Saccharomyces cerevisiae S288C: one gene and its partners. The gene in region 2 interacts genetically with the main gene of each other region. Each region holds a gene or a part of one and is shown on either strand. Other genes may lie near its edges. The genes, in order: CAF16, KIN28, TEN1 and CAK1.

Evidence for each region.
Region 1: mutations in KIN28 (region 2) and CAF16 together harm fitness more than expected from each alone (negative genetic interaction), as found in Saccharomyces cerevisiae (2 studies listed by BioGRID).
Region 3: mutations in KIN28 (region 2) and TEN1 impair growth when combined (synthetic growth defect), as found in Saccharomyces cerevisiae (one study listed by BioGRID).
Region 4: mutations in KIN28 (region 2) and CAK1 are lethal when combined (synthetic lethality), as found in Saccharomyces cerevisiae (3 studies listed by BioGRID, with this or other methods).

What each region holds. Positions count from the first base shown.
Region 1 is NC_001138.5:78,844-82,029, forward strand, and holds CAF16 (putative ATP-binding cassette family ATPase CAF16), read right to left. Parts: upstream 1,371-3,186; coding exon 501-1,370; downstream 1-500. Other genes in the region: cyclin-dependent protein kinase-activating kinase CAK1, read right to left, coding at 1-318; GTPase-activating protein GYP8, read right to left, coding at 1,576-3,069.
Region 2 is NC_001136.10:265,803-269,199, forward strand, and holds KIN28 (TFIIH complex serine/threonine-protein kinase subunit KIN28), read left to right. Parts: upstream 1-1,895; coding exon 1,896-1,923; intron 1,924-2,004; coding exon 2,005-2,897; downstream 2,898-3,397. Other genes in the region: YDL109C (putative lipase), read right to left, coding at 1-1,399; MSS2 (Mss2p), read left to right, coding at 3,119-3,397. UniProt on the Saccharomyces cerevisiae protein: Catalytic component of the TFIIK complex (KIN28-CCL1 dimer) which is the protein kinase component of transcription factor IIH (TFIIH) and phosphorylates the C-terminal domain of RNA polymerase II during transition from transcription to elongation after preinitiation complex (PIC) formation, thereby positively regulating transcription.
Region 3 is NC_001144.5:166,820-169,468, forward strand, and holds TEN1 (Ten1p), read right to left. Parts: upstream 984-2,649; coding exon 501-983; downstream 1-500. Other genes in the region: RLP24 (ATPase-activating ribosome biosynthesis protein), read left to right, coding at 1-317; LOT6 (flavin-dependent quinone reductase), read left to right, coding at 2,284-2,649. UniProt on the Saccharomyces cerevisiae protein: Has a role in telomere length regulation and telomere end protection. Acts as an inhibitor of telomerase loading through its interaction with CDC13.
Region 4 is NC_001138.5:77,555-80,719, forward strand, and holds CAK1 (cyclin-dependent protein kinase-activating kinase CAK1), read right to left. Parts: upstream 1,608-3,165; coding exon 501-1,607; downstream 1-500. Other genes in the region: AGX1 (alanine--glyoxylate transaminase), read left to right, coding at 1-434; putative ATP-binding cassette family ATPase CAF16, read right to left, coding at 1,790-2,659; GTPase-activating protein GYP8, read right to left, coding at 2,865-3,165.

The DNA of each region.
Region 1 (3,186 bases), on a different chromosome or scaffold from region 2:
ATCGTAATAGGGATTTTTTTTTCTTCTATCTCTTTTATAGTGCATTTGCATGAACTCATAAAGGTTCATCTCTTCAAAGGGAAACAACAACAATAGGTCATTATTATCGGTAGCCTTAGACTCTAGAAGAGGTAAGATGTGCTTACATTTGTTGCCCAGTTTGTTTAATATCGATACTTCGAATTTGGCGTTATGTGGCGGGATATCGAAATCTAGTGCTAGACATTTAATGGCATATGTATCCGACCTATAAATCCTAGCAGTTCTAGTAGATTTGACCAACTGACAGTGTGTAATGTCTATACTATCCAGTTTCATTAAGATGGGCGTGAATTTTGTTGCCTCTCTTCTTCATCTGGCCTCTTTGCTTCTATGAGACTTCTGTCGTTTTCCTTTTTTTAGGATCACAAACTACTTCTATAACTTAAATAGTCAAATCACATTTTCCACTAAGATACATATTTTCTATACAGGGGGTCTTTGCAGTTATATATACTCAGTTATATACCAATCTCTTTGTCAGGAATTTGATTATCACGTTTCAACCATTCTAGTGCTAATGGATGCAAACTATTCACTTTACTAATAACAACCTTATTGTTGTCATTTTCAAAGGCCACTTGTCCATTAACTTTAGCATTGACCACTTCAGAGAACTCTACGTCTTTCTGATAATCTAAATTATCCACAATCTTACCTGATTTCATATGGTATACTTGGTTAGGCCATTTGGCCAAGCCGTCAAAAATATGTGTAGCGTAGACCACTGAGCATCTTCTGGTTTCGGTCTCCCACTTTAAAAACTCCAGAAGTCTTGCTCTGGCAATAACATCGAGATCCACAGTGACCTCATCAAGTAGTAAAACTCTCCAAGGTTTCAAGAGCCCCATGGCTAACTGAACTCTTCTCTTTTGTCCATCACTTAACCTGTGCATTCTCCAACGTACATCGATGTCCAGGATTCTAACCAATCTTTCACCTCTTTCCCTAAAATGATCGAATCCAATACTTTTTAATAGTTCCAAGACGCCGATATCCCTATTAATGATACTCATATGGCACCATTCCGTACCTAGATAAGTGGTCGTTTGGTAGTTCGTCGAATCTTCAACACTTTCATCATCGTCCACTTGATTCATAGATAATGGACTGAATGGATCAAGACCATTGACCAGGATTTTTCCATCAAGGCAAAGATGCTTACCGCTTAGTAATTTCAAAAGGGTGGATTTACCAGCACCATTGGCACCCACAACTAAAGATCTTGTATTCCATGGGATTTGAAGATTGATATCAACAACTGACGGATCGGAGCTTTCTTTGAATTTGTACGTTAGGTTACGCACCTCAATAGCAAATTGGGAAACCATCTTGAGAGTTATCTAATATCTTGATATCTTATGCAGGAGTACTGGTTTTCTCCATACTAAAAATCTCTCTTTCAGAATTTTCGTTTTTTCTTATTTGAGTCATCCTCGAAGAAATTTCCGCAGCGAATTTTAAAGAAGCACTTTATAATAATACCTTACATATGAGTTTGTTTCTATGTCATGGGTATATAAGGTATATTGTATGCTATCTAGTTGGATGCCCCAGTTTCAAAATGTCCCTAATCGGATCCACCCAGATGTGACTAACGTGGTGCAAATTTATATTTATATGTGATAAGTCTTTCAACTTTGTGGAGATCATGTAACGTAGATTGAGTACTAAACTCAACGACCTTGTAGTCCGTAATTGGTACAGGATAGCTACAATCCCGATAAGTAAAGAAATTTTGCTCCACCTGTTATATTTGGAGGGTAAAAAATGGCCAAGTCTTTGGACCAACGCCCTTGTCTTGGATCTGGCGGCGACACCATGATACTTTTCTTCCTTGTAATGCTCGTTCATCTTTGTTTGTTCGCTCAAATAGAAGATAATGGTGCTCATATCGAAGCATCCTGGCTTTCCACATGCTGTATTGAGTAATGCACTATATTTATTAAGACTCACCCGTTTCAAAGCCTTCTTGCTGGCAGTAGTCGCATCTTTTCTAGTTATTTGCAAGACTTCTTCCCAAAGCGCCTCATCATACAGTTTTTTCTGTAAAACTGTTTGTATAGCACCATGGCGCAGGTCAAAATCGTTCTCGAAGAAATCAGAATTAGCTTCTATTTGCTTCGAAATTTCAGACGCATTTTGCAATAGCAGGTTCTTGTATATGATCAAAGGTAAACGCATAGATTGCATCGATATTGTCATGTCAAATATCTGGAAAAGAATTTTATGAAGATTGTTGTCACCGCTATCTATAGGTTTCAAATTATGTGCAAAGATTGTCAATATTGACCCAATAGCGAAAAGGGGCTCATTTTCGTCAAATTTGAATAGATTATAGAATTTCATGTTTGATTCCTTTATCAATGAAGAGATTACTCTCAATTGCTCAAATGAAAAATCTAGTGAGTTCATCATGAAATCCCTCAGATATAATAGGGTAAATGCTTCGATGCAATAAAACAGCCTTTCCATATCAATTTCTTCTTGCAATGAGAGATTTTCTAGTTCCAGTCCGTTCTCTTTTGTGACATTCCAACTAAAACACATGATGAAAACAGACACAATATCATGATAACCTTGGTAATAGTTCAACGTTGGGTACTTTCTCAATACCCGAGTAATTAACTCCACCAGTAGTTTTCTCAATTGCAGTTTCAAGTTTTTGTCGACAATTCCACCAAAAGACCTTTCTGCATCCAATATCACCTGACCTTCATCTTTATGTTTTTCCACTGGTGTAATGTACTCTGTTGCATCATCAATAAGCAACTGGGACGCCAATAATTCATACCAACAATCTTTTCTTAATGAGTTGTTTACAAACCCCAGAGGCCCTAAACCTATGTACCTCAAAGCTCGGACATCTTTTTTCTCTAATAACTTTGATATAACTTTTCCTTTTTGTTCTTCTGCCTTTCCACTGTCACAACGAGAAAGTGATTCCAGATATGCGTTATAACCTCCCCTTGTCAACGCGTCTTTGTCGTGGCTACTCTGATTAGTATGAAATAATGACCTTAATGGCATCGTATTTTGTTAATTGGCTTGTTCTATGTCATTTGCTAAATTTTCTCTTTATTTCTTTACTTTGCCAATTCAAGATAATCTTCCCTTCCCAGAGAGAAAAAAGGAAAAATTTAGCTA
Region 2 (3,397 bases):
TCATAGATTTGATGACGGAAGCATTCATCAAGCGTTTAGATTTCTTGTCGCAGTTATTTTCCTTGCTCTTCCAAAACGTGTTCCATGACGATGCATTGATTCCATCATCATCATTAGCAACATCGCTATGATTTGGAAGTTCCCCAATAGGACTTACTTCAGGCTGGAAGAGAGGATCACAAGGTGCCGTAGTTTGACCTCCCAGTTTCTGAAGTAATTGAGAGTAGTCCAAAAAAAGTAAAGAAGAGGAGTACAAGGGAACTATTCCGTCGTTGACGGCATTAGCATAAAGTGTTCTTCTTTTGAATCGAGCAAGCACACTGATTAAGGATTCCTCGGATAGCAGGTAAAGTAGGGGCTTATCACCATAATTTCCATCCTTAAGACCCAGTTCTTGCCCCGTAGTACCAATGATACCCATCGACAATGACATTTTTACGTAATTGGGCGTGCTGGTAGCAATGCCTAGCAATGGTGACGCCAGTGAGATAAAATTGATTGGCTCCACTTTCTTAAAGAAATATGGATATTTGGTCTTTATGTAACAAATAGCAAAAGTTTGTGTTAATCCACCCAGGGAATGACCAATAAATGAAATTTTCCCAACAGAGTCATCATATAACTCGTCGATGATGTAGTTTGCCAATCCAACACCCAAAAACTTAATACCCTTCTCAGTCTCACAAGCATTCTTCATATATCCCTTAATAACTAGTCGCTCATTTGGATTGTTCATTTGAGCCTTGTATATTTCTTCCATTAAGTATTCCATATCTGCCGAAACGTTTGATTGAAAACCATGCGTGAGAATGACTAAATGGGATTTTTGCGACATGTCTATGGGTCGTGGTACTTTCCATATATCTGCGGTGGTAAGTCTATGCACCGATAATCCTGTGTGTAAAATATTGCAGGCTTTATCAGGCAATGAATCATTACATCGTATTTTTCTTTTCAAAGAGGCCTTTGAATTGCCGACTACTATCTCAAAAGTTACCTTAGTTTCTTTATTAAATAGTATTTGACTGACAATATCCACTATCCATACATAGCGTGGCTTAATGTGGTGCAAGGACAACTCTGCAATAAACTTTTGTTGTGCCTGTAGGTTTGATTGAAATACTGGTTTATCCGCCGAACATATGATCTTATACGAGCTTTCGTAATCTTTTGCTCGCACGTCACAATATAAGATAAATGGGCCCAATAGATAGGCTGGTTTATAGGATAGCTTTGTGGTATTTTTGATCTTTACCCATAGGGAATCCAGTGTGATATCAGCGGGAATACTATCACCCTGGTATAGCTCATATGTAATAACGTATCTTTCTAACTCACCTAACTTTACTGACGACTGATTGTGGTATAGCACTTCATCAGCACTCCTGCCAGCTTCCATATTACTACCGTTTCCCCGATGTTTTTGGGTGAATAAGGTCAGGTGAGCATTTTTTGTACTGATATTTTTTCTCTTTGTTTGCAGACACAACGCTTGCTGTTAATACGCTAAAAACATACCACACTACCTTGAACAAATCCTCCAAGAGAAATTTGTAAGAATTCAGAAGCGGTTTCAGGGGAAGTCGGCTTAGTTGTCAATTGTAATTGAAAATCACCCTCTAATTTGAAAGATTTTCAGTTTCAATAAGACATCAATCTTGCCAGTTTGTAATTTTTTGGTATATAGAAATGGTCTTCAAGCATAAGCCTTAAGAAAGATTCGTCCATTGGATGAACCTACAATTTTTTTTGTGTTATGATGTGAAGCTTCATTTGAAGCATTGTGCAGAGAATATTACAAGTAGATTCAAAAAACACATTGAAAAAAAATACAAGTGAAATCACAGTTACTTAAAAGTCATCAAAAAAAATATTCCCGGCCTCAGAGCGAACATATGAAAGTGAATATGGAGTACACAAAGGGTATGTGGGGGTTATATATTGTCGTCTTTCTTTTAACATTCAATAATGATACTAACGTTGATTAATGATGATTCATCGCAGAAAAGAAAGTTGGTGAGGGTACTTATGCGGTTGTTTACTTGGGTTGTCAACACTCTACTGGAAGAAAGATTGCTATTAAGGAGATCAAAACATCCGAATTTAAAGATGGTTTAGATATGTCAGCTATCCGTGAAGTTAAGTACCTCCAAGAAATGCAGCATCCGAACGTCATAGAACTAATAGACATATTTATGGCTTATGATAATTTAAATCTCGTTCTGGAGTTCCTACCAACTGATCTAGAGGTGGTAATAAAAGACAAATCAATACTGTTTACACCAGCAGATATTAAGGCATGGATGCTTATGACTTTGAGGGGCGTGTATCATTGCCACAGAAATTTCATTTTGCACAGGGATCTGAAACCAAACAATTTATTATTTTCACCTGATGGCCAGATAAAAGTAGCAGATTTCGGTCTAGCAAGGGCGATACCGGCCCCACATGAGATACTGACAAGTAACGTCGTAACAAGATGGTATAGAGCGCCAGAATTGTTGTTTGGAGCTAAACATTACACATCGGCTATTGATATCTGGTCAGTAGGCGTTATATTCGCGGAATTAATGCTAAGGATACCTTATTTACCAGGACAGAATGATGTCGATCAAATGGAAGTAACGTTCAGGGCCTTAGGGACACCTACAGATAGAGATTGGCCCGAAGTTTCTTCCTTTATGACGTATAACAAGTTACAAATATATCCGCCCCCTTCAAGAGATGAATTGAGGAAAAGGTTCATTGCTGCTAGCGAATACGCCTTAGATTTTATGTGTGGAATGCTAACGATGAACCCACAAAAGAGGTGGACCGCTGTTCAGTGTTTAGAAAGTGATTATTTCAAAGAATTACCACCACCAAGTGACCCGTCTTCAATAAAAATACGTAACTGATATGATTTTATAAAATTTGTAGAATCTGTGTTATTGACATTAGATGTATCCTCAACATATACAAATAAACTTCTTGATGCGTCTTGTTTTTTGGTGTTGAATTTTAACTCTTTTCCATCATTATGGAATTCGTTTTTAGATTTTAACAACAACAATATGAGGGGAGACAAACAGTAGCAGACGAAAACGAAAACAAAAGCAAGAAATATCTGATCTAAAATATGCAGAGGTTTGTCAGTAAGTTTGTTTCCACACCACCAGTACCCAAAAAGTTTCAAGAGATTTTCCCGAAGAAACGTACGGTTAACAAAATTTTATTCCAGTTAGATACAAGGCTTACATACCATGAAATGTACCCGATATTTCTGCAGGTATCACAAAATACTAATGAAGAGAATATCCCATGGAGGAAGAAATACCCCTATATAAGGAGTTCAGACATTATGCAGATGCGAAACGTCTTGATAACTCTAAGGACGCAGAACAAATTCGTCCACAAA
Region 3 (2,649 bases), on a different chromosome or scaffold from region 2:
GAATCGAAGAAATTAGACAAAAACGTGAAAGAGCCTTCTACAAGAATAGAATGAGAGGTAACAAAGAAAAGGACTTCTTAAGAGATAAGAAATTGGTCGAATCTAACCCAGAATTATTGAGAATCAGAGAAGTTGAAATTGCCAGAAAGTTGGCTAAAGAACAAGAAAGAGCTGAATCAGTATCCGAACAAGAGGAATCTGAAGAAGAAGAGGAGGATATGGAAATCGACAGTGACGAGGAAGAGGAAGAACAATTGGAAAAGCAAAAGATTCTGCTAAAGAACAGAAGAAGAAATACAAAGAAAATTGCTTTTTAGTTAGAACAGAACCGGGCTAATTGCCTCTTTCCTTTCTTTTCTCATACTTATTTCATGGGATAAATAAGAATCACCTGTATACTATTATTTACATTACATAACATTACAATAACTATTTTCAAGGGTCCTCTTACATTCTTATCAAAGGTATTATATAATCTCAGTATATGCCAAACGTCTGACTTAGGAGTTAGAGATGTTCAGAAACTTCTCACCAAGTGGTGATTTGACAAATTCACAGAAATCACGAACGTCATTCCTGGATAGTATCTTAAAATCAATGATTTCAAAAATTGGCGGACTTTGGTGTATTCCATACCATACCCCAATGCGAACATCCAGTACCTGCCCATTTATCAATCTCAAATCATCTTTATGGGCTGAAAATAATCTTTCGCTCATATACAAACGCATCTCCTCTGCGCCATTTGTTGAATTGAGGCAATGAAGATTTCTAACTATCATTTGACAGAAAAAACCTTTAATGAATTCTTCATCCGATTTACAGAACAAGAAATCTACTAATCGAACAACAATCCTGAATCTTTTGGACGGATGAATAATGTTTGGTTCCATTCCGTTTCCACCGTAAACATTGTTATGAATATCGTAATTCGTTGCTATTTTATCCTTCAAACATTTTAAGTCTAGAACTAACTGGCTCATATAACACTGTCGTAGTTCTCTAAAAAGAGCAAATAGAGCTGTATGTAACCAATACAATATAGTGAATTATGTCCTAGAATAAGGGCATTCATTATTCTCCATCTCTGCTTCAGAGAAAAAAAAAAGAAAAAGAAAAAATAACGACAACTGCAGGACTCGAACCTGCGCGGGCAAAGCCCAAAAGATTTCTAATCTTTCGCCTTAACCACTCGGCCAAGTTGCCATATGACTATTGATTTATATCATATTACGAGCCCAAATAATACTGGGGTGTTTTGACAATCCTAATATAAACAGTCTTCGAGAAGTAACCAGTTGTCAAAACGGATTATCAGCTTGATTCAAGGAATGTTAACTGTCCTATATCATATAAAATATGAATCATACTAAATGGTGGAAGCACGGATCTTGGATCTAAACTAATTGTTCAGGCATTTATATGTTTGGGTAGTTTGGCTAAGGGAGGCCGGGTTTTATCTCATGTTGTTCGTTTTGTTATAGGATTGTTTCATATGTATTTTATGAACGTTTAGGATAATGTATTGTCAGGCTGACGTATCTCATTTTGAGATACAATAATTTAACCTATTTTATGTTAAATATTACACAAGATGATAAATATGTCAACTAAAAACTTTAACGCCGAGCTTGGCCATTACAATATAGAGCACATGCTATGATCAAATGAATTAGATGAATACAAGCCAAGAAAGCATTTTTTTAATTACACTTCATGCTTTTGTTGGAATGAAACTGTAAAATACCATCTGTTTAGTAGTATTTGTGTTACCAGTATACCGTCACATGCGGTGTAACGTGAGGACATAAAAAAGTCATCAAAATTAATGTCCCCACGTTACACTGTATATGACAGTATATACTACTGACATGAATACTAGTCGATAGTTAATACATGATTCTTATTACAACATGATGATTACAGTCTCGTCTTGGTCTGTTGTTTGACCCTACTATTTTATGCTATTTTTTGTATCTGATTTGAATTCAAGGCAATTGTTGTAATTCCATTCTTGGCATAACCCTGTGTAGATTCTACAGATAAGCTGCTTTTTTCTTTGAGTGGTGCCCCCGTTGTTTATTACCCGTCAGTATCATAACATTTGAGCATCTCACATGGTTACGAATGTAAATATGAATCAAAGAAGGTGCAAAATCAAAAAAAATCGAAAGATTTGACATGCCTATTGAAAAGGGAAAGTTGTATATCTATCAATTGTTAATTAGTTACTTGGTCATCTCCATTACCAGCTGAGGTGCTTAGTCGACAACCGCATTAAACATGAAAGTGGGTATTATAATGGGTTCTGTGAGGGCAAAGAGGGTATGCCCAGAAATTGCAGCATACGTAAAACGTACAATTGAAAATAGCGAAGAATTAATAGACCAGAAGCTGAAAATACAAGTAGTAGATTTACAACAGATTGCTCTTCCCTTATATGAAGATGATGACGAACTGATCCCTGCGCAAATAAAGAGCGTGGATGAGTATGCAGACAGCAAAACTCGATCGTGGAGTCGCATCGTAAATGCATTAGATATTATTGTATTCGTTACACCTCAATATAATTGGGGGTATCCAGCAGCCTTAAAAAATGCAATTGATCGTCTTTACCATGAATGGCACGGAAAACCTGCCCTGGTGGTA
Region 4 (3,165 bases), on a different chromosome or scaffold from region 2:
CACCAATAATGGAAAATTATGAGGCTGGTAAAGGAGCTTATTTTGCAACCCCACCCGTACAACTAATTAATAGCCTTGATGTAGCCTTGAAAGAAATTCTCGAAGAGGGGTTGCATAAGAGATGGGATTTGCACCGTGAAATGAGTGATTGGTTTAAAGACAGTTTGGTTAATGGCTTGCAATTGACATCCGTCAGTAGGTATCCTTCTAACATGTCTGCGCACGGGTTGACAGCCGTATACGTAGCAGATCCTCCTGATGTCATTGCTTTTTTAAAGTCACACGGTGTAGTCATTGCCGGAGGTATTCACAAGGACATCGGACCCAAGTATATCCGTATTGGACATATGGGTGTGACCGCTTGCAACAAGAATTTACCGTACATGAAGAACTGCTTCGACTTAATAAAACTAGCTCTTCAGAGGAAAAAGTGATTACCCTCGTACTTTTCATTTCATATATATATATATATATATATATGTACCTATATATTCTTCTTATTATGGCTTTTCTAATTCTTGCAAGATTCTTTGACAGCTCCATCTTTCGTTTGGTGAAAATGAAACCATCCCCAGGATACAATTAATGAACTTCTGCTTGACTTTGACATCCGCAATCTCGTCCAGTCGAGGCATATTCCTCTCAACAATGCTAATCTGTACATCTTTCTCCTGGTCCAGTACATACTTGCCATCGCCATCTGCACCAAACATACCAACAAATGCATCAACCGAGCCGTGTTGCGCAACCTCTTCCCATTTCTGAATGGACGGTATGCCCAACTTTTCGAATATTGAGCAAATCAGTCTGAAATCGCTTCCATCTGAGTTCATGTCGTCGCTGCCGTCATCAATCATGGCCGGAACGTGCCCCATACGGCTTGTTTCTCTCTGGAACCACTGAGAAATAATTATCAACAACGACCACACGTCCACGCCACCATCATAGCATTTTACTCCAAAAAGCACTTCTGGGGCCTTGTAAATTCCTGTGCTTATATCCGTCACCTTGCTATCCATGGGTTCCGCACTTGTTTGTGAGTTATTTGCCATGTCATAAGAGATGCCAAAATCAATTATGTACAACTTTGGGGATACGGTGCTGGTATTGTTTGTTAGCATGATATTTTGCGGTTTGATGTCGCGGTGAATGATCTTGTTCTCATGTAAGAATGCAATCCCTTCAACCATTTGCCGGAAAAAGGACAAAGAATACCGATTGACGTCCAATTGATTAGTATATTTCTGAACGGGGGGGTCCGCAACAATTGGGATACTGGGATTTAGCAAATCGTAATAGGGATTTTTTTTTCTTCTATCTCTTTTATAGTGCATTTGCATGAACTCATAAAGGTTCATCTCTTCAAAGGGAAACAACAACAATAGGTCATTATTATCGGTAGCCTTAGACTCTAGAAGAGGTAAGATGTGCTTACATTTGTTGCCCAGTTTGTTTAATATCGATACTTCGAATTTGGCGTTATGTGGCGGGATATCGAAATCTAGTGCTAGACATTTAATGGCATATGTATCCGACCTATAAATCCTAGCAGTTCTAGTAGATTTGACCAACTGACAGTGTGTAATGTCTATACTATCCAGTTTCATTAAGATGGGCGTGAATTTTGTTGCCTCTCTTCTTCATCTGGCCTCTTTGCTTCTATGAGACTTCTGTCGTTTTCCTTTTTTTAGGATCACAAACTACTTCTATAACTTAAATAGTCAAATCACATTTTCCACTAAGATACATATTTTCTATACAGGGGGTCTTTGCAGTTATATATACTCAGTTATATACCAATCTCTTTGTCAGGAATTTGATTATCACGTTTCAACCATTCTAGTGCTAATGGATGCAAACTATTCACTTTACTAATAACAACCTTATTGTTGTCATTTTCAAAGGCCACTTGTCCATTAACTTTAGCATTGACCACTTCAGAGAACTCTACGTCTTTCTGATAATCTAAATTATCCACAATCTTACCTGATTTCATATGGTATACTTGGTTAGGCCATTTGGCCAAGCCGTCAAAAATATGTGTAGCGTAGACCACTGAGCATCTTCTGGTTTCGGTCTCCCACTTTAAAAACTCCAGAAGTCTTGCTCTGGCAATAACATCGAGATCCACAGTGACCTCATCAAGTAGTAAAACTCTCCAAGGTTTCAAGAGCCCCATGGCTAACTGAACTCTTCTCTTTTGTCCATCACTTAACCTGTGCATTCTCCAACGTACATCGATGTCCAGGATTCTAACCAATCTTTCACCTCTTTCCCTAAAATGATCGAATCCAATACTTTTTAATAGTTCCAAGACGCCGATATCCCTATTAATGATACTCATATGGCACCATTCCGTACCTAGATAAGTGGTCGTTTGGTAGTTCGTCGAATCTTCAACACTTTCATCATCGTCCACTTGATTCATAGATAATGGACTGAATGGATCAAGACCATTGACCAGGATTTTTCCATCAAGGCAAAGATGCTTACCGCTTAGTAATTTCAAAAGGGTGGATTTACCAGCACCATTGGCACCCACAACTAAAGATCTTGTATTCCATGGGATTTGAAGATTGATATCAACAACTGACGGATCGGAGCTTTCTTTGAATTTGTACGTTAGGTTACGCACCTCAATAGCAAATTGGGAAACCATCTTGAGAGTTATCTAATATCTTGATATCTTATGCAGGAGTACTGGTTTTCTCCATACTAAAAATCTCTCTTTCAGAATTTTCGTTTTTTCTTATTTGAGTCATCCTCGAAGAAATTTCCGCAGCGAATTTTAAAGAAGCACTTTATAATAATACCTTACATATGAGTTTGTTTCTATGTCATGGGTATATAAGGTATATTGTATGCTATCTAGTTGGATGCCCCAGTTTCAAAATGTCCCTAATCGGATCCACCCAGATGTGACTAACGTGGTGCAAATTTATATTTATATGTGATAAGTCTTTCAACTTTGTGGAGATCATGTAACGTAGATTGAGTACTAAACTCAACGACCTTGTAGTCCGTAATTGGTACAGGATAGCTACAATCCCGATAAGTAAAGAAATTTTGCTCCACCTGTTATATTTGGAGGGTAAAAAATGGCCAAGTCTTTGGACCAACGCCCTTGTCTTGGATCTGGCGGCGACACCATGATACTTTTCTTCC